Linked DNA regions of Oryctolagus cuniculus. The protein of the gene in region 6 binds, or shares a complex with, the protein of the main gene of each other region. Links are inferred from orthologs where the notes say so. Each region holds a gene or a part of one and is shown on either strand. Other genes may lie near its edges.

The links.
Region 1: the proteins of CALCRL (region 6) and ADM2 are in contact, whole or in part, in a cryo-EM structure (PDB 6UVA), measured with the Homo sapiens proteins. The link is inferred for Oryctolagus cuniculus from reciprocal best matches to the Homo sapiens genes CALCRL and ADM2. Residues at the interface, in NP_001258680.1 of Homo sapiens: Val36, Thr37, Lys40, Asp70, Gly71, Trp72, Asp90, Tyr91, Phe92, Gln93, Asp94, Phe95, Asp96, Pro97, Ser98, His114, Ala116, Ser117, Thr120, Trp121, Thr122, Tyr124, Thr125, Asn128, Thr131, Lys134, Val135, Ala138, Leu139, Leu141; in NP_001240774.1 of Homo sapiens: Leu106, Arg107, Val108, Gly109, Cys110, Val111, Leu112, Gly113, Thr114, Cys115, Gln116, Val117, Gln118, Asn119, Leu120, Ser121, His122, Arg123, Leu124, Trp125, Gln126, Leu127, Met128, Gly129, Pro130, Ala131, Gly132, Arg133, Gln134, Asp135.
Region 2: the proteins of CALCRL (region 6) and GNB1 are in contact, whole or in part, in a cryo-EM structure (PDB 6UVA), measured with the Homo sapiens proteins. The link is inferred for Oryctolagus cuniculus from reciprocal best matches to the Homo sapiens genes CALCRL and GNB1. Residues at the interface, in NP_001258680.1 of Homo sapiens: Lys167, Ser168, Ile394, Arg397, Asn398, Gln401; in NP_001269468.1 of Homo sapiens: Arg52, Phe292, Ala309, His311, Asp312.
Region 3: the proteins of CALCRL (region 6) and RAMP1 are in contact, whole or in part, in a cryo-EM structure (PDB 6E3Y), measured with the Homo sapiens proteins. The link is inferred for Oryctolagus cuniculus from reciprocal best matches to the Homo sapiens genes CALCRL and RAMP1. Residues at the interface, in NP_001258680.1 of Homo sapiens: Asn39, Met42, Thr43, Gln45, Tyr46, Glu47, Tyr49, Gln50, Lys51, Ile52, Met53, Gln54, Thr68, Trp69, Asp70, Gly71, Arg113, Arg119, Thr120, Phe228, Leu231, Ile235, Thr239, Val243, Ala244, Gln250, Trp254, Tyr255, Leu258, Phe262; in NP_005846.1 of Homo sapiens: Trp59, Ile63, Tyr66, Arg67, Ala70, Phe83, Trp84, Pro85, Asp90, Phe93, Leu94, His97, Gly98, Phe101, Arg102, Cys104, Pro105, Ile106, Ser107, Gly108, Arg109, Ala110, Val111, Arg112, Asp113, Pro114, Ile118, Leu119, Phe122, Ile123.
Region 4: the proteins of CALCRL (region 6) and RAMP2 are in contact, whole or in part, in a crystal structure (PDB 3AQF), measured with the Homo sapiens proteins. The link is inferred for Oryctolagus cuniculus from reciprocal best matches to the Homo sapiens genes CALCRL and RAMP2. Residues at the interface, in NP_001258680.1 of Homo sapiens: Arg38, Asn39, Ile41, Met42, Thr43, Gln45, Tyr46, Glu47, Tyr49, Gln50, Lys51, Ile52, Met53, Gln54, Trp69, Asp70, Gly71, Arg119; in NP_005845.2 of Homo sapiens: Trp86, Ile89, Tyr93, Ser94, Arg97, Leu109, Gly110, Pro112, Glu117, Ile120, Phe121, His124, Gln125, Phe128, Ala129, Cys131, Ser132, Leu133, Val134.
Region 5: the proteins of CALCRL (region 6) and ADM are in contact, whole or in part, in a cryo-EM structure (PDB 6UUS), measured with the Homo sapiens proteins. The link is inferred for Oryctolagus cuniculus from reciprocal best matches to the Homo sapiens genes CALCRL and ADM. Residues at the interface, in NP_001258680.1 of Homo sapiens: Val36, Thr37, Asp70, Gly71, Trp72, Asp90, Tyr91, Phe92, Gln93, Asp94, Phe95, Asp96, Pro97, His114, Ser117, Thr120, Trp121, Thr122, Tyr124, Thr125, Asn128, Val135, Ala138, Leu139, Leu141, Phe142, Thr145, Thr191, Leu195, Ala199; in NP_001115.1 of Homo sapiens: Cys110, Arg111, Phe112, Gly113, Thr114, Cys115, Thr116, Val117, Gln118, Lys119, Leu120, Ala121, His122, Gln123, Ile124, Tyr125, Gln126, Phe127, Thr128, Asp129, Lys130, Asp131, Lys132, Asp133, Asn134, Ala136, Pro137, Lys140, Ser142, Pro143.

Annotation. Positions count from the first base shown.
Region 1 is NC_091442.1:123,407,550-123,412,412, forward strand, and holds the start of ADM2 (protein ADM2), read left to right. Parts: upstream 1-1,840; 5' UTR 1,841-4,863. Other genes in the region: SBF1 (myotubularin-related protein 5), read right to left, coding at 1,581-1,635. UniProt on the Homo sapiens protein: Intermedin/ADM2 is a peptide hormone that plays a role as physiological regulator of gastrointestinal and cardiovascular bioactivities mediated by the CALCRL-RAMPs receptor complexes.
Region 2 is NC_091438.1:163,949,862-163,954,165, reverse strand, and holds part of GNB1 (guanine nucleotide-binding protein G(I)/G(S)/G(T) subunit beta-1), read right to left. Parts: intron 2,605-4,304; coding exon 2,566-2,604; intron 852-2,565; coding exon 745-851; intron 1-744. UniProt on the Homo sapiens protein: Guanine nucleotide-binding proteins (G proteins) are involved as a modulator or transducer in various transmembrane signaling systems.
Region 3 is NC_091434.1:2,452,493-2,457,415, reverse strand, and holds the start of RAMP1 (receptor activity-modifying protein 1), read left to right. Parts: upstream 1-1,561; 5' UTR 1,562-1,990; coding exon 1,991-2,042; intron 2,043-4,923. UniProt on the Homo sapiens protein: Accessory protein that interacts with and modulates the function of G-protein coupled receptors including calcitonin gene-related peptide type 1 receptor (CALCRL) and calcitonin receptor (CALCR). Required for the transport of CALCRL to the plasma membrane.
Region 4 is NC_091448.1:20,145,380-20,149,888, reverse strand, and holds RAMP2 (receptor activity-modifying protein 2), read left to right. Parts: upstream 1-2,090; 5' UTR 2,091-2,195; coding exon 2,196-2,298; intron 2,299-2,761; coding exon 2,762-2,827; intron 2,828-3,196; coding exon 3,197-3,308; intron 3,309-3,413; coding exon 3,414-3,669; 3' UTR 3,670-3,831; downstream 3,832-4,509. UniProt on the Homo sapiens protein: Accessory protein that interacts with and modulates the function of G-protein coupled receptors including calcitonin gene-related peptide type 1 receptor (CALCRL) and calcitonin receptor (CALCR). Required for the transport of CALCRL to the plasma membrane.
Region 5 is NC_091432.1:55,858,153-55,862,985, reverse strand, and holds ADM (pro-adrenomedullin), read left to right. Parts: upstream 1-1,436; 5' UTR 1,437-1,600; intron 1,601-2,042; 5' UTR 2,043-2,063; coding exon 2,064-2,161; intron 2,162-2,310; coding exon 2,311-2,460; intron 2,461-2,682; coding exon 2,683-3,001; 3' UTR 3,002-3,766; downstream 3,767-4,833. UniProt on the Homo sapiens protein: Adrenomedullin/ADM and proadrenomedullin N-20 terminal peptide/PAMP are peptide hormones that act as potent hypotensive and vasodilatator agents. Numerous actions have been reported most related to the physiologic control of fluid and electrolyte homeostasis.
Region 6 is NC_091434.1:52,916,281-52,921,046, forward strand, and holds the start of CALCRL (calcitonin gene-related peptide type 1 receptor), read left to right. Parts: upstream 1-1,732; 5' UTR 1,733-2,160; intron 2,161-4,766. UniProt on the Homo sapiens protein: G protein-coupled receptor which specificity is determined by its interaction with receptor-activity-modifying proteins (RAMPs). Together with RAMP1, form the receptor complex for calcitonin-gene-related peptides CALCA/CGRP1 and CALCB/CGRP2.

The DNA.
Region 1 (4,863 bases), on a different chromosome or scaffold from region 6:
CGGCAGATGACCAGCTCCAGCCAGCTCCGGGGCTCCCTTGCCGCCAGTGCGGCGGGCAGCCCGGGAGTCACTCACTCCTCCCCGCCACGCAGGGTGAGCGGCACCTCAGGCTCCCGCCTGCTACCTTGTCCAGCTCAAAGGCTACACGTGCCAGAGGTGACCGCCCCCACGCAGCTCCCGCCACAAACACAAAGCATCCCGGAGTCCACGCATGTCTCCGCTCACCCACCGTCACTACCGCCACCCCCCAGCCCGGCTTCTGCTCCCGCCCCTGCCCCAGCCAAGGTCCCCACACCGGGGCAGCCCTCGGCTGGCCTCACCTCCCTGGACCCATGCACGGCTCTGCACCAGGCGGCGGGTGGGGCCTCCCCACTGCCCACCACACGTGCCTGGGAGCAGACGGCGCTCCCCTGCGGGCCAGCACAGCACTGACAGCGAGCCTGCGGGCACGGAGGACGGGTGACCGGCACGCCGTGGTCCTCCCCTGCGAGAACTCTGAAGACAGATGCTCCCGACTGACGGTGCCAGCAGCCGCGCGCTCGCATAGACGGCAGCAGAGAGGAGGAGCGGGCACTGAGCTGAGTGTGCAGGGGAGGGACACACCAAGAAATCACGCCGGGTCCAGCAGGTGGGGGTGGACACACGGACAGTGCAAACGGAGGCTCAGCAGAGCGGCCAGTCCTGCGCTGGGTGTGACGGCAGCAGCTGGACTGGCAGGAGGGCTCAGCCTCAGCTCCAGGTCCAGCCCCAGCCTGATGTCAGAGCCGAGCTGGACGACACCCTGCCCCCGCGCGCCGGCCTGGAGCGGGCGCTCACCCTCTCCGCGCCTCACTCCGCGCCCGCGACAGAGGAGGGCACCATCAGGCAACCTGGGTGGGCTGCTGGGTGGAGGAAGCGCACATCATGCACACAAAGGGCTGTGCAGGGCCTGGCACTCCAAGGACGCCGGCCAATGCTGATGTCATCGTCAGGCTCCGTCTCCTCCTGCCCCCTGGGCTGAGGGCTCTCGGACACAGGTGCTGAGCGCAGACACGGACCCCCCACACGGGCCCCCACCCGGGGCTTGGCTGACACGGGCCGCACAGCAGGCCCTTCGCCAGCAAAGTGCTCGCCCGCTCCCGGCACTTCCTCCTGCAACCCTCGCAGCCCCAGCTCGAACACACCTCTCCGCGAGGAGGCTCCCGAACCCCATCCCCTCGCCGGCACCCCACCAAGCCTGCTCGAGGCTTCAGACCCAGCATCGGGGCAGAGGAGGCGCCGGCAGAGAACCACCCATGCCCCCGGCAGCCGGCCAAGGCGCACGGCCCATCCCACCCCACGCGGAGTCCGGGAGGCTGAGCCGCCCCGGGGCCCTCCCACTTCCCCGGTCGCCGCCGGAGCACTCGCCCCCATCACGCGGTCCCTGCCCACCGCCCCGGCACAGCCGCAGGTGCCCCGGCCGGCCTCGCGCGGGCCCAGCGGCCGCAGCACCTCGCCGACGGCCCGGGGCCAGGGCTCCCAGGCGCCGGCCCTCAGCTCCAGCTCCCAGCCGGCCTCCGGCCCCCGGGCCCGGGCCCCCGGCCCTCAGCCGCGGCACTTACCGCGCGGGTGCGGCCCGAACGCCACCAGCACGAAGTAGTCCGCGAGCCGCGCCATGGCGAGGGGCGCGGGGCGGACCCAGGGGCGCGGGCGGGCTCCGCGGCTCGGGGACTCGAGGGCAGCGCGCTCATGGCCCGGCCCCGGCTCTGGACCGCGCACCCCGGATACCCCGGGCCCGCTCCGCGGCGGCAGCGGTGGCCAGGACTTCCGCCGCCATCTTCCCAGCCAGCCGGCCCGCCCGGCCACGCCGTGCGCCTGCGCACCCTCGGCCCGCCCCCCCCAGTGGGCGGGGCGCGAGACAACAAACGCCATTGGTCGACCATTCGTGGGGGCGGATCCCGGAAGCGATGGCCCGCCCATCGTCTCCCGCCCCGGGGCCTCGGTGCAGACCCTCCGACCGGTCAGCGGCCCTGGTTGAGCCCCCCGTTGGGAGGCGCTTCAGGCTGAGGGAAGGCGGGAGGGACGTGGGCCCGGCCGGAGGACGGAGGAGGCCGAGGCCGTCACCTCAGGGGGGCACCCAAGCCCCACCTTTGGGGGCTCTGGGTTCGAGAAAGGCTGGGCCTGCCCTTGGGGGTCCCCGCGGAGGCGAGGGAGATCCAAACACCCGGCCCAGGGACACCCGCCGCCCCCAAGTGCTGGGGCTGGTCAGGCCCTCCCCAGCAGCGGCCCAGCGATGGTCAAGGGAGACATGGCCCTCAAGGGCAGGGTGCCTGCAAGGAGCTGGCTCTGCGGAAGCTGATGGCAGCCATGTCCCATCTGCCCCAGGAGTGGCCAGAGAGAATGAGAGGCAAGCTCAGAGACAGCTGAGGGGGGGCCCAGCCCATCTCCGCCCTGCTGGTGGACGGTGGCACAGCCACAGCCGCCCTCAGCCACTCCCGGGTTGACCAAGGCTGAGGAACCCTTTTTGTCTAAGCCGGCTTGAGTTGATTTCCAGCACATGTACCCAGAAAGGAGCCCCTCCACCCCTATTAGCACTCCGGGGTTTGTGTGTGGGCAGCAGCAGCCCTGGACACATCCTGCCAGGGGCTACCCCACACCCGCTTCCCTGCCCTTAGGCCTCCCACCAGGCCCATGTCAATGCCCAGGTCTGTGTCCCCAGCCTCAGGGGCCTGTCCCTTCCAGGCTGCCCTAACCCTGCAAGGCTCCTGCCGCTGAGTCTCGGGTCCTGCCCGTGGCACCCTCAGCAGTGCCTGCGTCCACCCAAGCCGCCTCTCCCCCGCTGACAGAGAGAGGTCGTCCATCCACTGTTCCATCCACTGATCCACTCTCCAGATGGCTGCAACAGCCAGAGCCGAGCTGATCCGAAGCTGGGAACTTCCTCTGGGTCTCCCACGCAGATTTAGGGCCCCAAGTACTTGGGCCATCTTCCACCGCTTTCCCAGAGCAGAAGCAGAGAGCTGGATCGGAAGAGGAGCAGCTGGGACTAGAACTGGCGCCCACAGGGGATGCCAGCGCCACAGACGGAGGCTCAGCCCACTGCAGGGTCACAGCGCCGGCCCCTCTGGCCCCCATCTGGCCAAACTCCAGGGCCATCCACACCCCTCACCTGCCGCTCACCATACAGGGTGAGTGGCCTGTGGTGACACCCACTGCCCAGCCTGCTGCTGTCTGGGCAGCTGTCTCCAGTCCGCAGCTCTTCCAGCTGCTGCCCCTTCCTCACATAGAAACAGAAGCCACCAGGTGGGAGACCCCCAGCCGGCATCCCCCCCACCACGTACCCACAGAGCCTCTGCCTGCTGCTGGCCGGCCATGCCCTCACCACACCCTCTCTTCCTCCTTCTGGCTCCAGCTTCATCTCGGCTCTCAAAACCTCCCTTGGCGGTCGCCACGCTCGCTGTCTGCTGCACTCCCACTTCTCTAAAGCTCTCCCCACTGCCGTCAGCACACCCAGCCCTCCCGCAGCCCGGGCCTGGCTGGCCTGCCTTTCACCCGTCTCCGCCGTGGACACTGCTCCAGGGCAGCCGCCCCATCGCGCCCCAGGGGCAGCTCCTCAACTGAGGAAGAACGGAGGCCCAGGGCCTCCCCTTGAAGAGTGTGGGGACACTTCTGTGGGCTCGCCAGTGGGAGAGGCAGCCAGGCTGATGCCTGAGGGTCAGAGGACCCCCCCAGCGCCGTCAACCGTGGGCTCTGGGCAATGGGACCACGGTCTGATGGAGGTAGTGATTGTTCAGTCGTCCCAGGGTCTGAAAGAAAGAAGGCAGTGGGCTTCTGGCCCGCCCACCCCCAGACCTACCACCACCTGTCCCAGATTAAAACGTCCCTACTGGCAAGGTGGACAAACCATGTTTGTGTCTGGAACGATGGTGCTTCCACAGTGTGGAAGATGACACTGCAGGACGAGTGCCCTCCTCGGCCCTCTGCCCACACCTCCCTACACCACCTTCTTCCCTCTGCCTGCTCTGTGGACGGTGTCCCTCCACCTGCCAGGGCCCGACCACCTCGAAATCCTGCCCTGTCTTCAGCCCTCGCTCACAGCACCGAAGGCTGAGCCGACACCTCCGTGTGGGTGACCCACGGGTGGCTCAGAAGGCAGAAAGGCTGTGCCGGGAGCCAGGAGCCCGTGTGTGCAGCACCCTGTCCCCCATGTCCCCATGGGCCCCGCTCCTGCTGGACTCCCCAGGCCTGTGCTCCTGACACAAACACACGACCCCTCTCAGGCCTGGCTGGTAGGAATGGACAAGCAGGTGACTGCTGGAGCCCCCCACCCTTCTCAGAGGTAGGCCAGGCTCAACACTCATGAACTTAATCATCCAGCAAATGTTTACTGAGCGCCCATGGTGTGCTCAGCAGGAGGGACAGAGTGGCCACAGGGGGTATGAGGAGGGGCAGGTAATCGGAGAAACCTCTGGTAGGAGGCGGATGAGATCATGGCTGCCTCTCAGATGGACAAAGAAGCCGAGAGCTGCCGAGGCCTTCATCTGTGGACAGTGGTGGGCACCAGGTTTGTGGAGAACAGGTTAGCACCGTTGCTGTCCAGTGGAGACCGCGCAGGGTTCTCGTGGCCACTGATGAAGGATTGGTTAAATCAATCACAGGACACCAACTATGGAGCTGGGCCGGGTCTACTTTCCATTCGACGTGCTTGTGTGTGAGGTACAGGGAAGCAGAACCTGGCCCCACAGTGGGCACTGTGCAGGGATCTTGCCTGGCACCTAGGTTTGAGTTTCTTACAAAACGAGGTTCTAGGAAAAAGGCCGCCTGGGAACGGCCTCCCTGGGACCCGACAGACCCTCCGCCATCTGTTCTGCGCGGGATCCTGAGCCAGCGCTGCCCGGGGCCCACCCT
Region 2 (4,304 bases), on a different chromosome or scaffold from region 6:
AACGTACGAGATGGACTTGGGAACCTCTAAAACAACAGGAAAAGAGAGCTTAACAGATGTGGCCCACAGGGAAGGCACACAGCCCAAGGCAGGTGTGGGCAGAGGCAGGGTGGAGGCAGAGCAGAGGGTGAGCAGGGGACAGGGGAGTGGACGGGAGGTTAAGAATCCCAGGAAGAGGAAGAACAGGAGCCTCGAGGGGCTGTGCCTGGGACAATGAACACACCACAGAGAGGCACAAAGACCGGGTGAGGGGTGATGGCCGCAGCAAACACACACACCCATGCACCTGCTGGGGGCCCCAACCACAGAAACCCAGGCACAGCACCACCCCACAGGCTGCTGCTCTCAGGCTCTCTCTCTGGGCCTCCCGCAGCCCGGAGCAGGCGCTGAAATCACAGGAGGGCCAGCAGCCACCAGAACAGGCCGCGCAGTGCAGAACACAGGGACAGAGGAAGGCCACTTCCCAAGGCCACGGCAGAGCACAGCGGGGCGGAGGGAAGGTGGGGTTTTCCAGGGAGGAGAACCTGAGCCACACAAGCCAGCCTGGAGCGGAGAGGAAACAGCAGAGTGGAGTGGGCCAGGTGAGCGCAGACCCGCGCACAGGCCACGCCTGGCCTGCTCATCTGACTCCTCCTCCTCGTGTTGCTCGCTACAAAGTACAGCAAATGAGTCCGGGCGACCTTCCCAGACAAGAGAGCCTCGGTGACGTAGCCGGCACGGGCTGCCGCCGTGGCCTGTGCCTACCTGGAGTCCGTGCCCCAGTGCATGGCGTAAATCTTCGCCAGGTGCCCCCTCAGCGTTCTCCTGGTGCGCATCTGGATCCTCCCCACCGGGTCGATGTTGTTTGTGATCTTAAACACGAAGGTTCCTGAGGTTAACATCTGTGACCACACGATCTTCCCAGAGCCCTCCTCCTCACCCACCCAGCAGGGCCCAGCCATCCTCCAGCTCTTCAGGGGCACCAGGGCCCTCGGGACTCTGAACAGGGCTGCCGTTTCCACGGGGCGTGAGGACACACCTGTCCCCCTGGCGTGCACACACACGGCAGCCCGGCTCCGCCTCTGTCTCAGGGCCCGGGGCCACCACGGGCACAGCCTCCAGCTCCGCCCATCTGTCTCAGGGCCCGGGGCCACCACGGGCACAGCCTCCAGCAGCTAGTGCTCTGCTCCTACCTCAGGCCACGTGTGGGCCTGGACAACACTCAGCATCGGTGTCTGCACGCCAGCACCCACCCCACAGGGCAGACACCGACAGCAATGCCTCCAGGTTGGCAAATGGGCAAAGCACACCCAACAATGAGTCTTAAAAAATGGACAGTCCACAGTGCGCCCGAGAACTGACAGCTGTGATTCTACGCTGCAAGAATTCCTTCTTACAGCGCATCCCCTTCAGTGTCTGGATCGCCTCATGAACCAAGTCACCTGCAGAGGGTGAATCTAACTTTTCTTTCACTATTCTGTCCGATTCTTTAACTTTTTAAAACTCTGTTACAGTGCCCACTCAGGGCATGCTGTGCAGCCCTCACCACTGCTCGCCTCCCCACCCACCCAGCGGCCACCTCCTCCTCTCGCCCCCACGATCCCTGCAGCCACCAATCTCCTGTCTTTAACTTAACCATTCTGGGTATTTCATACACACAGAGCTACACGTGGCTGCATTCCCTTTCACGGCTGAGTAATATCCCACCGTGCAAACACACCACCACACGTTTGTACGCTCATCCACTTATGGAGAGCTGGATGGTCTCCTCCCTTGGCTGTGTGAGCGGCGATATGAACACTGTACAGCCATCCTCCTTTAACTGGTTTCGCTATGCATGGCTCAGTTTCCTGTGGTCAATCGCAGTCTGAAACTATTACATAGGACATTTCAGATACGGACAATTCCTAAGTTTAAGTTGTGAGCCGTCTGAGCAGGAGGATGACATCCACTCCGGCCTGCTGGTCCTGTCTGGGGTGTGGTCAGCCCTCGGCCCGTGGGACCGCGCTGTGCCCACTGTGGTCACCCAAGCTGCGTCCCAGCCCCGTGTCGTCTGCCTCACTGCATCTCCTCGCACAGGCGTTGTTGTCACAAGTGTGAGTACAGGAAGATTAATTTTTTGAGACAGATCATATGCACAGATTTCCTGCAGTGTTGTTTTTATGATATTCCATTATTAGTCCGCAGCGATGCCCTCTGTAGGGTCTGTGTACACGAGGCTTCAGACACCCACGGGTTTCGGTGTGCGTATCCTACTGAACACCCGCTTGAACGCCGGCTTTTGATCCTTTTGGGCACACAAGGAGCCATGGAGCTGCCGTTCAAGTGTCTGGGGAGCTGTCAGGCCGGCCTGCGGAGTCCAGTTCTTGGACCGACTGGCCACGAAGGCAGCGACACGCCGCCTGACTGAGACAGCAGTCTTCTGCCCTGGCAGGGAGCACTACGCGGGCTGAAGAGACGACGCGAACACAGAACCCCTGTCTCCTCCCACGTCTGGACGGCTCCGCAAGACAGTGCCCCGCAGTGGTCTGGCAGCTGCACGGGCAGAGCTCACTGCGGAGGGCCCAGGCTCACACCGGCTCTTACCTGAGAGAGCGTTGCATCTGCACATGCTTTCCTAGCATCCTAGGAAGCAACACAAGAGAGGTGAGCGGTGTCCAGGCAGGGGCCACCTGGGGCCTCACAGCGTCACTGTGGAAGGAAAGCACCCCCCCCCCAACACCCACCATCCACCGCACTCGGCCACTCACACACAGCGACCGTGGAACCCGGCACGGGGACGGCACCAGGGCAGGGCCCCTGGGCGCGGGGCTGCCCTGGCCTTCGGCGCTTCTGAGCAACCACGCTGGCTCAGCGCCTGCACAGCTGACCCAGGGAGGACGGGAGGCTGGCGCCCAGGGAGAGCGGTCCAGCAAGGACCTAATGACCAGCCCAAAAATCTCTTCGGGACAATAATTACTTTGTTGGATTTAAATTTCACAGAAAAGAGCAAGGCGTCTGATCAGACTGCAGATTCAGATGAAACCTTCTGACTTCTTCCTGGCTCTATCTGCTTTCTTATCTACGAAACGACGAAATGCAGGTACACTCTGCGGAAGGACACGCCATCACTAACATCAAGTGAACAAGGAACTAGACAAGTGTGGAATCTTAAATGAACATATATTTTTATAAATAGGGAGATATAGGGAGCTGGCGCTATGGTGTAGCAGGTAAAGCCACCACCTGCAGTGTCAGATCCCACGTAGACGTGGGTTTGAGTTCTGGCTGTTCGGCTGTTCCACTCCCGATCCAGCTCTCTGCTGGGCCCCTGCACCCATGTGGGAGACCTGGAAGAAGCTCCTGGCTCCTGGCTTTGCATCAGCCCAGCTTCGGCCGTTGGAGCCATTTGGGGAGTGAATCAGCGGATAGAAGACCTCTCTCTCTCTCTCTCTGCCTCTTGTAACCCTGCCTTTCACATAAATAAATAAATCTTAAAAAATAAAAATAAAAAAGCAATATGTAAAAGAGAACTTCAAAAATCAACAGAAAAATGGAACTGAAAGATAAGCTAATTTGGGCACAATATTTTGAAACCCAGGCGTGATTTTATAGTACATATATTCTATGAATTTCCTGAAGACCTCTGTACACTAGATGCAGTAAAATGAGAACACAGCTTTAAAGGCTCACAACAGGAGTGTGGGCAGCCCCTCAGAGGCACTCAGGGCGATGTCCAGTAAGACACAGGTCTCCATGCTGCTGTGAGCTGACACTGCAGCTGGGTGTTCCCAGGAGATCCGATTTTAGGGGCAAACTTCCCTACTGTAAATTTTTATTTTATGAAGCCAGTGGGGATATCTGTGAATTAATAATATAAAGAAACTATTGGCCGGCGCTGTGGCTCACTTGGCTAATCCTCCACCTGCGGCGCCGGCACCCCGGGTTCTAGTCCCGGTCGGGGCGCCAGATTCTGTCCCAGTTGCTCCTCTTCCAGTCCAGCTCTCTGCTGTGGCCCGGGAAGGCAGTGGAGGTTGCCCAAGTGTTTGGGCCCTGCACCCGCATGGGAAACCAGGAGGAAGCACCTGGGTCCCGGCTTCGGATCGGCGCAGCGCCGGCCACAGCAGCCATTTAGGGGGTGAACCAACGGAAGGAAGACCTTTCTCTCTGTCTCTCTCTCTCTCTCTCACTGTCTAACTCTGCCTGTCAAAAAAAAAAAAAAAAAAAAAGTCCAAACCACACTAGAGTTTAAGACAGCACCTTCAGAGTCAACACAAATGGCTGCCTCAGTGGGTGCCCGTCGTGGTGCGGGGGTCAGACGCTGTGTGGGCCCACGTCCCACAGCC
Region 3 (4,923 bases), about 50 Mb from region 6:
CATGTGCACAGTCAGCACTGTGTGTGTAGCCACCACGTGCACAGTCAGCACTGTGTGTGTAGCCACCACGTGCACAGTCAGCACTGTGTGTGTAGCCACGTGTACAGTGAACACTGTGTAGCTACCACGTGCACAGCCAGCACTGGGCCGTTCTACAGCGGAGCCACTGTTGGCCCTGATGCGCTGTAGGTGGGGGCCCCCGGAGGAATGGATCCCCATGCTTCCAGCTGCCAACCAGAAATAACACACAAATTGAACAGAGTCTCACCGGGTGGGGTCTTCAACTCGGGGTAAACAGTCTGCTCCGCCTTGCCCCTCGGAGCAGCGCAGACCCTCGGTAGTACTGGCTACCTCGTCCCGGGCCGGGCACAGACGTGAAAGGACAGGAAGTGGCGCAGGGCTCTGGGTCACCTCAGCATTCTCCAGAGAGCGTGAGCTTCCAGGCTCCAGCGTGAACCTGACAAGGGAGCCTGGCCCTGTGAGGAGCCCGTGCCTGTCCAGGGGCCCCCACGCCTCCTGCAGTTACCCTTGGAGAAGTTCCTGGGAGGAATCCAGGTGCAGCCGCAGGGCGAGCAGACGGGGCCCAGGGGAGGGGCAGCTGGGTGTGGACGGGGTCTGAGCCAGGACGAGGTCGCCTCCACTCACATCACCTAGCGTAACTCAGGTGGACCTGTCCTCGGGCCACACGGGCCGTGTTCACGCCCTCTGGCCATGGCGTGGTCTCTGGACCCCAGGCCTGTGCTGTAGCCTGTGGTCTCTTCAGGGATTCCCCCCCCCCCAGTCCTCAAGACCAGGGGGTGCAGCTTGTCGCGAACGTGCCTTTGTGTCCTTACTCCACGGCGGAGGGCAGTGCCCCCGTGCTGGACGGTCCCTGCGGCACAGCAGTCCCCCACTGGATGCACCAGCTGAGGATGTGGGCCTACCTGGTGGGATGTGCCCCAGGGCTCAGGCGGAGGGGCTGCTCAGGTCGGGAACGGGTGCCCTCCACCACCGTCGCCCCCAGGAGACTTGGGGCCCCCGGGCACACGCAGGCGTGCCCACCCCCAGGGAGTGCCCGCCCTGCCAACCTGGGCTCAGAGGGGACCGAGGGCCGCCTCGCTGTGCGCTGCTCTGAGCGCCCGGCAGGTGGCAGCAGCCCCTCGGCGGAGGAGCGGGGTCGGTCAGCCATCCCCTGCCCCGCGCCGGCTGACCCACGGAGACGGCGGGCATTGCACTGGAAGCTGTGACATTAACCAGTGGCCGCGAAGGAACGCTAACTCGCTTTCACAGGGTGTTGGGGAAGGAGCCACCGCTAAGCCAGCGGTGAATGCGGGGTTGAGGTCTCCCGCACTGCCCGCCTCTCAGCCCTGCTTGCAAAGGGCTGCGCGGGTGACCGCCACCCGGGTGGGTTCACGCTCGCGCCGGCCACCACCAAGCGAGGCGTTACCTCTCTACTGGAGGCCCTGGTCCCTGCGTCACCCTCAGCGGCAGGTGCAACCCCGGCCCCCCCAGCCCCTTGAAGAGCGCTCCCTGTTCCCTAGGGCCCAGGGCCTCTGCGAGGGCGCGCCCCTCCGCACCCCGCAGCTCCGGCTTCTTGTGCGCGGGGCTCGGCCAGCGCCAAGGCTGCTGCTGCCCCCGGGCGCCCCGTGCCCGCACCTGGAGGGGCAGGGAGCGCCTGACTGCGGGCAAGAGTGACCAGACCCTGCGAGGGGAGGGCGGCGAGGTGCCCGGAGGGTTCTGGAAGCGCACTGCCCCCCGCCCCGCCACCCAGGTTTCCCGATTGTTAATTTGGCGAACTTTTCCGGAAGGCGGCAGCGTTTTCCTGGTTCTGGGCGACTTCCACCCGGCAGGTGCTGCCCGCTCCGGCACCCACCCCGAGTCGGGCCGCGCGGCCGCCGCTCCCGCCCCGCGCTCCCGCCCCCGGCGGCGTCTTCCCGGGGCGGGCGCCGCGGCGGGCTCAGGACTCGGCGGGGCGCGCCGCGGGCGGACTCGGCTCGGCTCGCTGCGCGCCATGGCCCCGGACCTGCGTGGCCTCCCGCAGCGCGGCCTCTGGCTGCTTTTGGGTGAGTAGGGGCCGGGGTCGCGGGCCGGCCCGGCTCCCCCGCGTCGAGGGCGGAGGAGGGGGTCGCACGCCGCGAGCACGCCGGCTCAGGCTCGCGAACGCCGGCCGCCGCCTCGCCACGCGGGGCCCGCGGCGGAGGTCCCCCAAGCCGGGCCGTCCCGGGGTGCGGGGCAAGGAGACGGGCGGGGCAGGCGGCTGGGCAGGGGTCTGCGCCCTCCCGGCGGGGGTGGGGGTGGGGTGGAGGAGGCTGAAGGGCAGCTGCCACTTGGCCCCGCACGCTGGGGAGCGCCCCTGCTCCCCACCCCCACCCTCCGCGCAGGCTCCCTGGGGCTCGGGTGTGAGCACCTTGCAGACTGAGTGAGGGCCACGGCTGTTTGGAAATTAGTAAAAACCGGTCATCTGACTGTCACATGCCGCTGTTTCTGATTTGCTAAGCGGTGTCCCCGCTGAAGCCAGGCCAGCCGCCTGTCCTCTGGAGGCAGAGCCACGACTTGGTGTTCGCTCCCTGACTCGGGCGGAGACCCCCGGTGCGGTGGGGTGGCCGGGCTTGGAGAGGCTGCGGGAACCTGCGGGGATGGGGCGAGGGATCGTCTTCCCTCCGCCGGGTGTCCTGATGCACACATGCAGAGCTCCCAGCTGTTCGAGCTGGTGGATGTGTCCCCTTCCGTGTGTTCCTCTTACGGACTGGACGGCACCGGCTACTCCGTCCAGGGCTCCCTCCCCAGAGCTGTGATGTTGCTGTGGGCGCCTGCTGTGCCGCTGGAGCCTGGCGTGGGAGGAGGGGGCCTGCCCGCCCTGCTCTAGCTGAGCCCCTGGGGGCAGGAGAGGCTGCCCAGGCCAGGAGGAGCCGCCGGCCGTAACCAAAGCCTGCCCCGGCTTCCGTGTGGCCATCTCAACGCCGGCCTTGGCACTTGAGCGCTTCTGCCGAAGTCACAGGAGAAGGAGATCTTGTAGTGATCCCGTCCTCCGTCGGCCTAGACGTGGAGTCGGCCGTTTTAGTGCCCTCGGAAGCCAGCGTAGCTCTGTTAGCAAGGCAGAGAATGAGTTGTGTGGTTTTTACTTAAACGCGTAAATGTCCTTTGCTGGTGTCCGGAGGCGGTGCCCTCTATGGCTGGTACAAAGAAAGCCCTGTGTTGGGATCACACAGACTTTCCCTGGTGACCAGAGAGCGGTTGCGCTCTCCTGCCAGGCCAGAGCCGTCATCGTCACGTCCTGAGTGGCCTGGCCAGTGTCACGTCTCAGAAGAACACACGGAGCTTTGTGAGGTCACCCGTGAACAGATGCACTTGGAACGCGGCTGCACACGCACGCTGTCACCCTCCGGTGCCATAGCACGGCCACATGTCCTTGGAGGTGACCTTGGCTGCCTGGGATGGCGACCCGGCATGGGCCGTGTTGGTCCCCAGCCTTAAGGATTTTATAGCCAAGCTGTTCCTGTCCAGTCTGCTGCCCTTCTGCGTGTCCTCTGTGCCGGGCCCCTCCGTGCTCTGAGAGTCCTGTACACGCGTGTGTTCCTGGAAGGCTGATGGGCTCGTGTGTGGGGAAGACTGTGTGTGACCACCCTGAAGCCATTCCAGGCGGGCTGGGGTCACTCCATCCCGGCCTCGCGTGCGGAGCCTCCCGGACCCTCGGGCGGGGGCCGGGGTTTGTGTGTTTGTGGGTTTTTGGAACGGTTGGGACATTGAAACACACGATCGTGCGACCATGAGGAGAGCTGGAAGTTCCGGGACACCCAGGAGAGGCGGTACGCGACGCCTCCCGTGTCCGGCTGCTCTGCGTCCCGACGCGGTCGCGACCCTGGCGTCCGACCCTGGCGCTTTCTCATTTGCCAGTCAGGTTTGTTTGCCCCTGTGTGTGCAGCTGCAGGGAGAAACTCCCAGAGGTTTGTCTTCTTCCGTGGCTCACGCCAACCAGCATGCGTGTTGTGAGCCTGGACCTGGGGGCGCGCCCCAGTCCCCCGTGTGCACGGTCAGTGGCACCGGTGACACCAGGAGCCAGCGCTCTGGGTGGAATCCTGGCTGTGAGCAGATGGTTGGCCGGGCCTGCTGACTCCCTTCCCCGGAGGGAATGCACCGGTTTCGGGCAGATGCCGGCCAGGGCCACATAGGGCTGGTGCTGGGCCCAGCGCGTGCTGGTGGTCGGCCCTCCCTGCAGTGGCCGCACTGAACACTTCTCTGCTGGGACTCCAGGGAAGTGGTCTCTTCTCCACCGGGCCTGAGGTCTGAGCCCCAGGGGGCCGCCGTTCCTGACCCAGCAACGCTGATGGAGCCGCCCCTACAGGGAGCCCATGGGGGGCGCGTCTCCAATCCCGGGAACCCAGGCTTTAGGGCCTCCTGTCCACCCGGTGCAGGCATGCAAGGCTTGGAGCCCCGGCAAGGGCAGGCGCGGGGGCAGTGGGGACCTGCGGAGGGGGGGGGGGACGCTCTCCAGAAAGCTCAGGGAGGCCCTGCAGAGGAAGGGCCGTGAGAGGGCAGGGGGAGACCAGGCAGAGCCAGGGCAGGGGAGACCAGACAGAGCCAGGCAGGGGGAGACCAGGAGAGCTCGTGCAGGGGGAGACAGGAGAGCCGGGGCAGGGGGAGACCAGGAGGGCCGGGGGCAGGGGGAGACCAGGAGAGCCGGGGCAGGGGGAGACCTGGAGAGCAAGGGCATGCAGAGACCAGGAGAGCCAGTGCAGGGGGAGACCAGGAGAGCGGGGGCACCGGCCCTGTGCCCTGTGCCCCCACGTGGTGCAGAGAAGCTGAGCAGGGACCGGCGAGGGCAGCCTCCACTCTTAGTCTTTAACCACCAATGGTCGTCCATTAACCATTGACAACTGGCCTGAGGCCTACGACCAGTCCCTGAACGCGTGGGCCTTTGGCGTGATGACCCAGACCACAGCAGCC
Region 4 (4,509 bases), on a different chromosome or scaffold from region 6:
TTCCAAACCCAGGAACGAGTCTCCCTTGGAGCTCATCATGATCAGACCGAACCCCAGCCCTGCGGACAGCAACACTGCCAACCAGGTTACCTACAGTTCCCTTTCTGACTCTAAGGTCAGTCTCCATGTGAGAATGATCAGCTCCGGAGAGTCAAAGCCGGCTGCCAAGGCTACATGGCAAGACAGAGGCAGGAGCTGCCTTCCAAATCCTGCCATCCAGGACACCATCACTGCCCTGCTTAAAGCCCAGTATGCGCTTCAGCCATCTTTCATCAGGACCCCACGCTCAGCTCAATCCTAACCCACAGTGGGGCTGTGGGCTCCTGACCCCGCCCTGCAGAAATGGCTTGTTTTGCTTTCTGCCCCTCCTTGCTGCCTCCTCTTGTCTTATCACCCAGAAGTCCCCTGCTTCCTTCTGGGAAAGGGTGACCCCAGATAGGACAAAAGGGACAGATTTGGTGCCAGCCTGGGAGTGACATCGAGGCTGCACCATTGCAAAAATGACTCTTGCCGGGAGTGCTTTGGGCCACCTCCTCTGTCCCATTGTGTCCCTTGCTAACTTAGCTTTTTTTTTTTTTTTTTTTTTAATTAGACAGGCAGAGTTATAGACAGTGAGAGACAGTTCACCCCCCAAATGGCCACTGAGGCCGGCACTGTGCCAATCCAAAGCCAGGAGCCAGGTGCTTCCTCCTGGTTTCCTGTGCGGGTGCAGGGGCCCAAGCACTTGGGTCATCCTCCACTGCACTCCTGGGCCACAGCAGAAAGCCGGACTAGAAGAGGAGCAGATGGGACTAGAACCTGGCGCCCATATGGGATGCCGGCGCCAGCCCTGCTAACTTAACGTCTTAATTCTAGCTGTAAAAGAAAACTTTAGATTATCTATGGCCATGATCCCCAAAGCCTGGGATCCCGAAATGAGGATTTTAAGAGGGATCATGAAAGAGAAATTGTGGTGGGCAGGAATCAGTAAACTGGGACAACAGCAGCCACTGGTTCCAAGGGTCAGCGTCTGGGAGTAATTAGAAAAGTTTGGTGCCGACAGCTGTGCGTCTGGGAGTGGAACCTCATGGCCAAACCAGCTCCTGAGCTCGTCGGCTGCCCCAGGCTAATGAAGTCCGGTTCCAGGACACAGGGGCGGCTGTGATGTGGCAGCAGTGAGGGCGCCTGGGGTCCAGGCGCAGCCTTGCTGTGGACCAGCAGTGGCCTTAGGCCGGGCACCAAGGACACACATCTGTCCACACCACAGCGGAGGAAGGGACTGCCCCCATTTCTCACAGGAGACCACAGAGCGAAATGTGTCCTTCGAGGCCATATAGCTGGGGAGTAGGAAGACAGAATAAGGACCCCAGAGCCTCTGGATTCAAGTCCTGGGTTCTTTCCCTGTACGATGGTGATAAGAATGGACACGCTTGGTACATGACATCACCCACGGGAAGTTCTGAACGTCTCCCCTCTTCCCTACGACCTGGGTCTGGAGGGCTGCGGGCACCTTCTTTCTGGGGAGGTACTCGCCCCCGCCCCCACCGTCAGATTTGGGGATCTAGGACCCAGCAAATGCTTCCAAGGAAGGCACCAGACTTGGATTTCCCCTCTCGCGTGCACTCCCCTGGCCCTGTCTCCTCCCCGGTCTGGCGGACGGGCTGACATCAGCGGGTGGGAGTTTCCAGGGCAGAGGAACTCTGAGCTGCAGGGCTTAGCTCCAGGTGCCCCTTCCCCCACGGCCCACAGCAGCCCCAGTCCCAGTCCCAAGGCGGCTCCGCGAGGCCCTTGCAGCTCCCAGACCCTCCCTCTTCCCAGACGACCCCACCGCCTGCCCCCGAAGAGAGCCGGAGACCAGGGCCCAGGAGCCCCTGCCAGTAGACCCCGGCGAGTCCCCGGCGCCTCGCAGCTGAGCCCGAGCACCGGATCTCGGGCGTGGGGTTACGAGGGGAGCTGTCCAGCCCCGCGGGGTGAGCGGGAGGGAGCGTGGGCCAACACGGGCGAGGAGGAGGGAGCCGCGGGCTCCCGGCGCGGGTGCGGCAGCGACTCCCCCTGCAGCCCGCGGGCCCCGGGCGTCGCCTCCGCCCCCCACGTGGCCGCAGCCGTCCCAGCCCCTCCGAGGAAGCGGCGCGGCTTCCTGCGGCTCGGGCCGGGGATATAGGCGCCCCCGCCCGGGCCCGGCTCAACGCCGCCGCCCCTCCTCGCCTCGCCGCGCGATGGCCTCGCTCCGCGCGGAGCGCGCAGCTGGCGGCCCGCGACTCCCTGCGACCCGCGCCGGGCGGCCCGCGGCGCTCCGCCTCCTCCTCTTGCTGCTGGGCGGTGAGCGCGGCGCCCCGGGGCCCCGCGGGAGGCGCGGAAGGCTAGGGAGGGGAGGGGGCTGGACGGCCGAGGCGGACGCGAGCTCTGCGGGGTGAGCAGTGCGTCCTGCGGACGGTCCCCGGCCCCACCTCGGGGCGGCCACAGCACGAACTCTGCTCCTTGCTCGGGGAAAGCCGGGGTGAGGGCAGGGGCCCGCGGACACAGTCCTGGAGGGCTGGGCTGGTGAGGGGGGTGTGCGTACGCGCGCCTGGGCCTGGTTGTGCGTGGGCAGGAGCTCGTGCCACCCCTCCTTTCCAGGCGCGGAGGCATCCCGCGGGGGCATCCCTCGGATGCACAGACGGCTCCTCTTTCTCTTAAACCGGCGCCTGGATCTCCAGGGGTCGCAGCCTACATGCCCCTCCCCCGCAGGCGCCACTGCCTGCTTCACCACCTCTCCACCCTCCTCTCCCGCTTCTTCCCACAGCTGTCCTTAAACCCCAGGAGTCCCTGGCCCAGACTCTTCCCACCCCGGGCAGCTTGGAGCCAGAAGGTGGGTGCCCAGGGGCTGTGGGAGGGAGGCCTAGGGCCGGGAGGAGAGCCAGGTCAGTGCCTTTCCCATAGGCACCCCCCAGCCCCCTGCTGCCCCACTCTGCTGCCGGCTGGGCCCCCGTCACAGGTGGGTGGGAAGAGCCCAGGAAAAGGTGCACGTGGAGATTGTCAGGCTTCGATGAGAAGTGCTGCCCAGATGGAAGGCACCAGATTGCTCAGGCAGGCCGCTCTGCGAGGGGAACTGGCAGAGGGGTTCCCACGTCTGAAAACAAGGGTCGTGGGTTCCACCTAGACAGTCCCTGGGCCAGAGGGTGTGTGGGGGTCAGAGGGGTGGCAGGCCATGGTCACTGAGCAGCGTCTGTCCCCACAGGGAGGACGGGGGAGGAGAACTACGAGACAAACGTCCTACTTTGTTGGAACGACTATAAGGTTTACATGGACTCTATCGAAAAGGATTGGTGCGATTGGGCCGTGATTAGCAGGTAGGGGCCCTCCTGGAGGGCGGCCCAGGCGCGCGGGGGTGGGGGGTTGGACTTTGCTGCTGGGTGGGCCTGCCTCTCCTTCACGCAAGCCCTCCCTGCCCCCAGGCCTTACAGCGAGCTGCGAGACTGCTTGGAGCAGAACGCCGAGGAGTTCGGCCTGGGCTTCCCCAACCCCTGGGCAGAGAGGATCATCTTCGAGACTCACCAGATCCACTTCGCCAACTGCTCCCTGGTGCAGCCCACCTTCTCCGACCCCCCGGAGGACGTGCTGTTGGCCATGATCATAGCTCCCATCTGCCTCATCCCCTTCCTCGTCACGCTGGTGGTGTGGAGGAGTAAAGACAGCGAGGCCCAGGGCTAGGGTGGCACAGCCTTCCCCATGCCCTGCCAGCTCTCGCCCTCTCCCCCCCTCCCCACCCTCTTCCCTCGGTCCCAGCCCCTGCAGGTCCCCGGTAGATGGAGATGGAAGTCGGGTGGGGCCATGGCACAAGTTCTGAATCTAAATAAAAACTTCTTTTGGGTACAATGTCCCCCTTCCCATCCTAGCGGGGCCTGTTCGCTTCCCGGAGCCTCTGCCACCCCCACAGCAGGCCGCAGAACTGGGCGAGTCGGAGGGCTTCATGGCTCTGTTCACCCCCCCATCCCGCCCCCACCCTGGATGAACGCCCTGCCCCATACTCCTTCCTCCCAGGGCAAGGCCTTTCCTGCCTCGCTCCAAACCCAGCACCAGGAAACAAGCAGGAAAAGACTCCCTTCCGGTCTGCACGGCAGCGGGGGGCGATGCAGGAGGAGGGGCAAGGGAGAAATCTGCCATGACTCCTGCAGCCAGGGAGGCAGCCCCCCACCCCGGGCGGTCCTGACTCGTCCCTGCATGCCTGTTTATTCTGAAGGCTTGGGAAGAGGAACCCGGACCTAAGCACCAGGAATCTATCGCTGAGACCTCAGAACGGAGGGCAGAGGCAGTGGGGACGTCCTCGGCAGGGTCCACCCCTTCCCACTAGGTCCCTGGCCCTCATCCTACATTGTCCTGGATGGGGTGTGGCCTACATGGTGGCCACACACTGCCCCCTGGTGTCCACTAAAGCCAAGACTCAAAAGATGTGTGTGACCTGGAAGCAGCTCAGGGCTGAGGCCGCCGGGCCCTGGGTCAGAGAACTATTTGTTCTCTCCATAGCATCCTCTGGTTCTCCCCCACCCTGTG
Region 5 (4,833 bases), on a different chromosome or scaffold from region 6:
GCGCCCAGCAGCTTGGCCCTGGGTCTCAGAAGCGTGCGGCAGAGCAGGTACGTCCCTGAGAGCCCACGTTCTCGACCGGGACGCTAGGCAGCAACGTGACCCGCCCGCGTTCGCGCGGCAGCTAGCTAGGCGGCGAGGACAAGCCGCCAGTCTGGCCAGGGGTCTTTCCCGCTTGTCGGTGGGCTTCGGGACAATTGCAACGCGAACGCCAGACACCTGCGTGCAAGGCGCTGAACTTTTGCCTTCCATTCTGCCTCTAGAAGAGAAAGACAGCGAGTCAAGAAGCTGTGGCGGAAGCGCAAGGCAGGGGGACAAACGTGTTTGGGCCGATTCATCGTGATCAGGCATACCCTCGGGCGGGGGCTGGGACGCTTCTCCCCGCCTCGACGGGATGGTGACCCCAGCCTAGAAGAATCCACGCCGCGCCCCAATTTGCCCTACTCGCTGGCGGGGCCGGGGTAGGGCTCCTCCGCTTCCCACCTTTCCCGTGACTTTGGGCAAGGGACTTATTTCATCTGAATTTCAGTCGTCCACGGGGGCAAATGGGGAACGCGCTGTCACCCTCCTCCCCTCGCTCAGGTTTCACGTGGAGATCAAAGGAGAGAGGGCCCTGTCTGTTCCTAAACCATAAACGAGGCATTAGCGCGCGCCGTGGCAGCCGAGCCTCACGTTTGCAATGGGCGAATCGAAGCGGCAGGGCACTCTCAGGTTATCACCTTATAAGGCATAATTGGATGACACGCGGGGAAACATCGGCTATTCCTGTATTTCCAAAGAGGCACGTCAATTCTGAAACTTCACATATTTACCCCCTCCCCTCCAAATCCAATTATCGATTCAGCCGCTGCGAGCTTTGCGTGTATTGTGAAATCTTAACTAGCTTATCCCAAACCCCCGAGGTCTGGTCGTCTCTTGGGAGCCCAGGAGCCCTGGCTCCTCGCTGCTCGGCTCTGCTCTGCTCCTGGACCCTGCCCCCCGCGACTCCGCGGGAGCCTGGGGTCGGGGCCAGGTCAGACGCTGAGCCGGCAGGGGGCGCGGTGCGCCTGAGACTGCAGCTCCCCAGTCCCAGCCATCCGCTCCGGATCCCCCACTAGTTCTTTCAGCTCCCTGCTGGGAGACCCCCCTCTTCCAAGGCTGCATAGATCCCGGGATAAGGACCCCAAGGGGCTGTGCTTACCCTCTTTTCCGCCGGACTTGCCATGTGAACCCTGCGCCCAGCGAGTTAGGGCTATGGCAGTTTCTGCACCAACCTGGAGCTCTCCTCTTGAGTCTCTGAGCTCGAGGGACTCGCGCTCTCCCCCCACCAACCCCACACCTACAGGCAAAGAACGCGCGCGCCCGAGAGCAGAAGCGCGCGCGCCGGAGGAACAAGAGGGAGGGCTCGAGGGCAGTCCAGGCCCCGCCCCCTGAGCGCTTATAAAAGCACGGGAACCCGAGCTGGCTACTCAGTGGTTTCTTGGTGACACTAGGCGGAACAGCTCGAGCCTGGCCACTTCTGGCTTCTCACCGCAGTCGCGCTTGGACTTGGGGGTTTTGCCGCTGCTAGAGGGACGCCTCGGACTTGCTGCTCTCAGAACTTGTCACATCACCCTTTCAGCAGGTAGGTGCCGCACGATCAGCGGGGTACAGCCGGCCCTTGCTGAGGCCCGAAGCTGGGAGCGCTGGGAACAATCCACTTGGGGGAGGGGAGAGGGGTCCTTGGCGGGGAACACCTCAGATCCCGGGCGCAGCTCGTAGACACAGTAGGAGCGCCAAAGACCAGCTCCCCTCCGTTCCGTCCGCTAAGTTCCACGAAGTTGAGCAGGGAACCTCTGGGAACCTGGCGCTGTGCAACGGCCTCCCCTGCAGAGCCTGTCACCCGCCCCCAAGGGTGCAGACGCCTCTGGCGGCCTCTCTGCGCCCCGAGGAGATAAGCGCCCGAACCAGGCAGAGCGCGCGCTGAGCTCGCCCGCGCCAGGGTCCCCTCCCGCCCTGCGCGCCCCGCCCGGGCCTTGCAGATGGCCTGGGTGCTCACGTTCCACTCCTCTTCTGTCTTTTGCCAGGGTCTGCGCATCGTCGTCGGGATGAAGTTGGTCTCTGTCGCCCTGATGTTCCTAGGCTCACTGGCCTTCCTAGGCTCGGACGCCGCACGGCTCGACGTGGCGTCGGAGTTCCGAAAGAAGTGAGTCCCTGGCAGCGCCTTGCCCTGTCCTGGTACCTGGCAGACGAGGGAAATGGACCGCTGGTCCCCAGGGGTTAGAAGTGAATGGGCCGGGCAGGGCCGGGCGGTCGCCTGGACGCACGCGAATCTGGTCTGCTTCTGTCTTCCAGGTGGAGTAAGTGGGCTCTAAGTCGTGGGAAGAGGGAGCTGCGGGACTCCAGCAGCTATCCCAGCGCGCTCGCTTCAGTGAAGGCAGGGCCTGCCCAGACCCTCATTCGGCCGCAGGACGTGAGAAGCGCCTCGCGCAGCCCGCAGGCCAGGTAACCGCCGCACGCAGCTGGAGACTGGGGTGCAAGCGGGGCGGGGGGGGGCGCTCTCTCTCCCCACCATTCCGGTCCTGGGCATTGGCAGGGCTGGATTGCAGCTCAGAGCGCCGGGGAACATTCTCTCTGCCTCTGATCTTAGAATGGCTCCCGTCCGCGGTGTCTGGGGCCACAGCCCTGCTGGATGGGGTCTCAAGTTGCCTCCCTTTCGCTCCCCAGCAGTGCGGACGCCGCCCGCATCCGAGTCAAGCGTTACCGCCAAAGCATGAAAAATTTCCAAGGCTCCCGCAGCTTCGGCTGCCGCTTCGGGACGTGCACGGTGCAGAACCTGGCGCACCAGATCTACCAGTTCACCGACAAGGACAAGGACGACACGGCCCCCCGGAACAAGATCAGCCCTCAAGGCTACGGCCGCCGGCGCCGGCGCTCCCTGCCCGAGGCCGGCCGGGATCGGACTCTGGTGTCTTCCGAGCCACAGGCGCGCTGGGCTCCGAGCTCCCGGGAGCACCGAGTGCTCGCCACCCTCCTTAGGATTTAGGCGCTCGTGGCAGCAGCGAGCGGTTGGGCGCGCATCCCGCTGGCGCCTCCCGGGGCCGAGGGCTTCGCGAGCCGGATGGGGACCGGACTGAGACAGCCCTGCACAGACCCCACGTCCGGGAGGCAGCGCCGGGCAGCCAGCCCTGTCTTTGCAGCAGCTCTTCCTCCTCCTTCCCCTCCTCCTCCTCCTCCGGGAAGCGCCGCCTTGGCCCTGATCAGGCCTGGGCGCCCCAAGGGGGCAGAGGAATCCGAGGGAGTGTTTGCCAGGTTCACAGAGAGGAGAAACTGAGAATTACACGCTTGGACTCCAAGGGCAAGGGTCTGAGCCACTGCCTGGCCCGCCCCCAGACCGACTTCTCACGGGTGGCACCCCACGGGGCGCGAGCCTCCTATTACTTGAACTTTACAAAACCTAGAGAGGAAAAGTGCAATGCGCTATGTATATACAGAGGTAATTATCAATATTTAAGTCTGTTGCTGTCGAGATTTTTTTGTAACTTCAAATATAGAGATATTTTTGTACGTTATATATTGTATTAAGGGCATTTTAAAGCAATTGTATTGTCCCCCTCCCCTTTATTTTAAGGTGTGAATGTCTCAGTGAGATGCAAGACGGTTGTTGGAGTGTGTGTGTGTGTGTGTGAGAGAGAGAGAGAGAGAGAGAGAGAGAGAGAGACTGATTACCTCTTGTGGAAGAAGGAAACACCATGTCTCAGTATAATCTATTTACATAAAATGGGTGATATGCAAACAGCAAACCAATAAACTGTCTCGATGCTGATTCATTCTCGCTCACGCGTCGAGCGAGGGCGGCTGCCTCTCGCAGTGGTGCGCCCGGGAGCCTCGGGGTCCCGACTCCAGGCTTGGGGAGGCGCGGCGGGGGGCCGACCTGGCATCTCTCCATGCCGGGTGTGCTGTCGCGGGCTCTGTTCTCCACGTGGGGAGCCCAGAGCGCGGGTCCTGGGTGTGAGTCGGGGCTCCGAGGAGACGCGGGAGGTCACTGCCTCGCGTGGCGGCCAGGGCGGGCCGGGTAGGGTGAGCCCCACCGCGAGGCGCGCCCGGACTCCTCGGGTTGCGCAATGGCTTCAGCAGACTTGCGGCAAATCCAGGTTTACCGAACCCTGCGCGTATCGCGCATCGGAAAGTTGCGGCGGTCTCCGAAGCCTTGCGAGCGCGGAGCTCGCTCAGCGGCCGCGCGCGTGCAAGTGAGAAGCCGCCCCGCGGCTGGAGGTTCGGTAGCCTGCGGACTGCGCGCCCCCAGGCACGGGGACGGCAGGGCGGCGGGCTCATCTGCGGGGTGGCGGCGCCCCCTGCCGGCCGCCGCGGGGGGGCCCCGGAGCCCGGCGGCTGTACGTGCGGTTTAATAAGTTCTCCTACGTGGGAGTCGGCACACAGCCTTAATGAAAGAGGAAAGAAAAAAACAGTCTGCAGATGCCAGCCAGGGCTGCCCCCCCAGACCTGCGCGGCGGCTCCCCGCTGGGGCCGGTGACTCAGCGCCCACACGCTGCGCCGCGAGCAGCTGCCGGCCGAGGCGGGCGGGACGGACGTGCCGCCGGAACCGTGCGCCGCCGACAGCCGAGACCTTCATTGTTCCGCCTCCCGTGGCCGCTCTCCCCTTCCTTCCTTCCTCTTTCCCAAGCCGTTTTCGGTTTTTTCTCCACTTCGTTCCAGCCGTCCTCCCTCCCCGTGCTTCCTTCGTGCCTTATCGTCTCCGAAAGTTGCCCCCGGCTCCTACGGGAGATGCTGGGCACTGAGCCCCCACGGAGTGTGCAGCAGGGCCGAGGGCCGGGGACACGGGACAGTGAGAGTGGAGGGGCAGGGGAGGACAGGGGA
Region 6 (4,766 bases):
TATTATGGTTTGCATGTGCAATGATAAGACAAGGATTGTGCTCATTTGATTATCTGGTATTTGATTTTGCTCTGAATTTCAAGATGCGAATGCCAAGTTTGTCAAGATCATATTAGAATCAAGTCCAAAATTTCATATCCCATGGTGCAACCCTAGTTTTGTTGGCCCAACCCCAGAATCTCAATCCTGTTTCTCAATGGATCCCTGAGCAGTGAACTACTTTCACATAAGAATTTGAAAAAGCTTTCATTTAGGAATATCCATGTCAGGTTTCTGGTTAGAGTCTCTGTTGAGCCAGCAAAAATTTCATAGGTTGAAAGAAACAGCTCAAAGGAAACTAAAATTCAGTATCCATCCAAAAGGAAGAAAAAAACAAGCCCTCATTCTGAGATATAATATTCTATAATATGCTATAACTCCTCTGGTTACAATGATCACATGGTGTAACTCATTATTTTGTTTACAAATTTTAAACTATGATTAGTAAGCCTCTCTTTTGTACGTATTTTTTGTTGATCTTGATCTTTCCACAGATAAAGAAGCACATTTATTCAGAAACACGATATTCCTTAATTTATGATGCCTTTTCCTCCATGGTTAGTCTACAAGAGCTATAGACACCTTATTTTGTTCCTGGACTGTGGTCATTTAGCTATTTCTCTATGCTTCTGATCTCAGTGTAATAAGAATGGAATTATCTCCACAGCATCTTACTTGTCTCTAAATTACATAGATTCATTGATTCAAAGTCTTAGAGAGATAAAGGATTTTAGAAACTTCTTGATCTTTCTCTTCCAGTTTATAGAAAACCGATGCCCAGAACAGATTAAATGACTTTCAGTATCATTTAGGTTTCAGGAGTTACAATTATTATTTCATATCATATGCTTACAAAATGATAAAAAATGAAAAATGCATTTTAATTTAACAATTTTCTCACTGGTCATATATCCCATGACTTATTAAACAAATAAAGTTATGTTTCAAGATAAATTTTTTCAAATGAATTAAAGTATGTTACATATTTTGTAATATTTCATGATATATTTGTAAAATATGAACATATTCTTAAAGATTTTTGAGGTATAAATGTCAGCATAATTTTTGGGTTATAGATGTGAACTAAATACTTCAAGTATTTTGAAGTGTGTGCAATTATTTAAAAATTATGAATTCCTTTGAAAATATTATTTTCTCTAACACATATACTTTCATATATATTATGAAAAAACAATATACACAAACACACTTTGGTTTTGCAACACATACATACTCATGTCATGAGCAAAGTAAAACAAAATTTAGGAAACCATAGCATAATGTTTCTTGATCTAATTGTGGAAACCTAATTGAGGAATAGCATTTGATTATCAGAGCTCAAAATCAATGAGTCAGATGGCAGAATTAATTATGATGAATGCAGTTGCTTTTTTTCCATGCTTACTTGTGAAGAAAAATGTGTTAGATAACATTTTCCTAGATGCTTTGTAAACTACAATTCAGCATACATGCGCATGCACCCACACACACACACTCTCCCATGCATCCACACACACACACACTCTCCCATGCACCCACACACACACATACACACACACGCATATCCCTAATTCCTTTGATTCTTTGAGCAGAACATTATATTCAGATTTTCTTCCAATCACCGGCAGCTCTGTTTGGCAAGTTCTAACAACTCAGTCAAGGTGAAAGCCAGCCAGCTTTTGCTAGTAACAATGTATTCATACAGCATATGATCTCTGCCTGTTCAGGCTGCTTCTTGCTCTTGTCTCAGAATAAGAAAGGAGTGCTGCTTTCCTGGGGTATGCTATTTGAGAAAGAAAGTAACCTAACACTAACTGCAGGCGGGGTCAGAGTGATGTAACAGGAAGCTCTGATGTTTCCCTCCTGCTGCTGATCACTTACAATCTGACAACACTTCCAATCTACTCAGAACAGCCCTTCTCTCTCCAGCAGTGTCAACTCCTGCCTCTTAAGGACCATCAAGCTCTGCTAACTGGATCTCACCCTGCCTGCAAGATCACAGTCTAAGGCTTTCTCTCTTTCCCACCTTGCCTGGGGGGTAAATCTCTTCTGTGGAAACTCAGAAAGTCAAACTCCATCCTAAGAACATTTCACCAAGAATTTCCTTAGGAGCTGTGCTGGGTAAGTGCATTATTCAAAATAATTTATTTATTCAAAATAGTACTCTCATACAGTCTTACCGATATTTTTACTATGGACTTTAGCAAATGGCATTGAAATAATGTTTGAAACAGTCTCATTTATTTCACGTTAGAGGAACTATAGCATGTTTCCTGCCCCCAGCACAAAAAAAAATGCATGCAAAAATCCATTACTACTAGAAGATATTGTTTACAGTGGTGTTCTGGAAACTAAAATTAACGATAAATAAAAACATAAAGGCATATTAAAACTTGGAAGTAATATTTCTGAACAAGTACCTTAATCAGAGAACAATGCCTTTTAAAATTAGCTCTACTAGAGCTAAGCTTTAATCTTGACAGCTGGAAAACATTTTTCCCCCAGAAAGGGTTTTTAACTTTCCATATAATCAGTATTCTAAGAAAGGGATGAAAGAATAACTCCTTACCAGTCTTCGGAGTCTCCCTGTTGTAGAACACAATACAAAAGGAAAACAATAATTTTGGATTTATTATATTTGTATTTATTATATTTGCTTCTATTTGCCTTTCATATCTATTTACATATGTATCTCTAACTACTGAACTAGTGGACTTTTCATTGTTTCAGAATCTGTAGCTGCCAGATGTATTTAAATCTTTTGTAGCCCTGAACTGTTTCTACTGTATTTGGATCCTAGGTTGGACCACAAAGAAAAGAAACTTCTAGAGTTAATAAAATGTGGAAATTTTTATATTATTTCTTATTTCCAAAACTCTTTGGCTGAGAGAATGTGTTTCTTCAACTGATCAGTATCCCTTGCAAGCTTTTGGGGGAGGGTGTGATATGGAAACATCTGTGAATAAAGAAATGCCACAGAACTTTCCCAAATGAGTATATTAGACCCTGAAACAGAGGAATTAAAGTATGTATTTAAAAGAATTTTCAGGATAAAACTCACTGAAATGTTGAGATGAAACATCTGTTAATGCTCTTTCCAACAGTACAGACTGTTCTGGACAATTAAAAAAATCTAGTATCTACTTACTAAGTTGTTGGTATAGCGATATCATAACTTTGTTGGTAAAGAAAGCTAGATGTCAGATTCGGGTCAAAATAACCCGAATTATAAGTGACATAACTTTTTACAAATGTATTTTCTTACCTAAATGAAATTATATTCTGAAATGTCCCTTAATGGCAGAGCCCTGTACTTAGTCAATCATCAACAGTAGGCTACAAACTCATCTTGAGTAATTTTTGACTCAATTTTCTCACAAATTTCTGGACATCAAGAAGTCGGTGAATCTTTAAAATACTTTGGCTTATTTCTATTTCTTTCGATCTTTAATTGTGGTACGCAGTTCCTAGACACATGTGCAGACATGGGGAAGTGTGTTTAGAATATGAATTTGTGAATAGCCTTTAGATGATTTGGAAAGGAAATGGAAACAACATATTAAATAATCTAATGCTATGTTAGTGTCTAAATTAAAAAAGAAAACTCCAATTCTTTTCTTTGGAATATTATATAAATATAATATTGTATGAGTGATTTTCAAACTTTTCTAATTTTTATTTAATTGCTAACTTCAAACCCTTAATTTTATTGCATAATTCAGTTAAATATCCATGTCCATGCTGATAGCATGGTTCATAAACTTTATTTTCCAAAAATACTGTTTGAAACACTAGGCAACGAATATGAGGGTCATTAACAAAGACATTATTTGAATAACTAGCTGTAAATTTGAAATAACAATTCATATTATTCTTTGCTTTCTTTAATAATAAGATAAAATCTGATAATTAATGTATGCATTTAATCATAAAGATATTAATTTATTTTCTGGATATTTCTCTGTAGCATTTTAAAGCCAATGCATAGCCTAAGGTCAATTCTAAAGATGTGAAATGAAACATAGAAGTGAAATTATATGAATAATTTGAGCTTAAATATGTTTTACGTCAAATATTCTATCTCTTAAGGGGATAGAGTTTTAGTTAGGTTAGATCTTTTTTTCTAATACACCTTACCAAGTGCCAAAGCATTATTGTATAAGTTAAATATGTAGATATATGTAGATTTTCACTATATATATAAAACAATTCATTCATCCTGAAAGAAACTGAATCAGAGAAAGTGAAATCATTACCATTGGGTCTTTTAATTTTATAAATGATCCTAAATGAATAGCCAAGTGTTGTGCTTACTCACTGGTGATTCCTAGTATATCACGCAGCTTAAATTAAGAGTCCAGTATATTTATGAGAATATTTACCTTCCCTTGCATATATTCTACCATTATATCCATGAATAACAAATAATTCCAGTCAAAAATTCAAGATAATGTTATTACACAAAAATACCTTTTTAGTTTACATTAATTGAAAAATTACTTGATGAACATTAAAAACAAACTGAACTTTAATTAATGGCAGTATTATATACTTCTAACTTAGATCATATTAGGAATCATTATAGCAGTGTTTTTATAAACTTTCTATACTTAGTTAAAGTTTTCTCTTAATTTTAATGATTGCTTTGCATCTTTGTAGAAAAATTAACAAAATAACTTTAAAGTTAAAATATTTGTTCAAAATATTGGTTCACTAACCATGCTTAT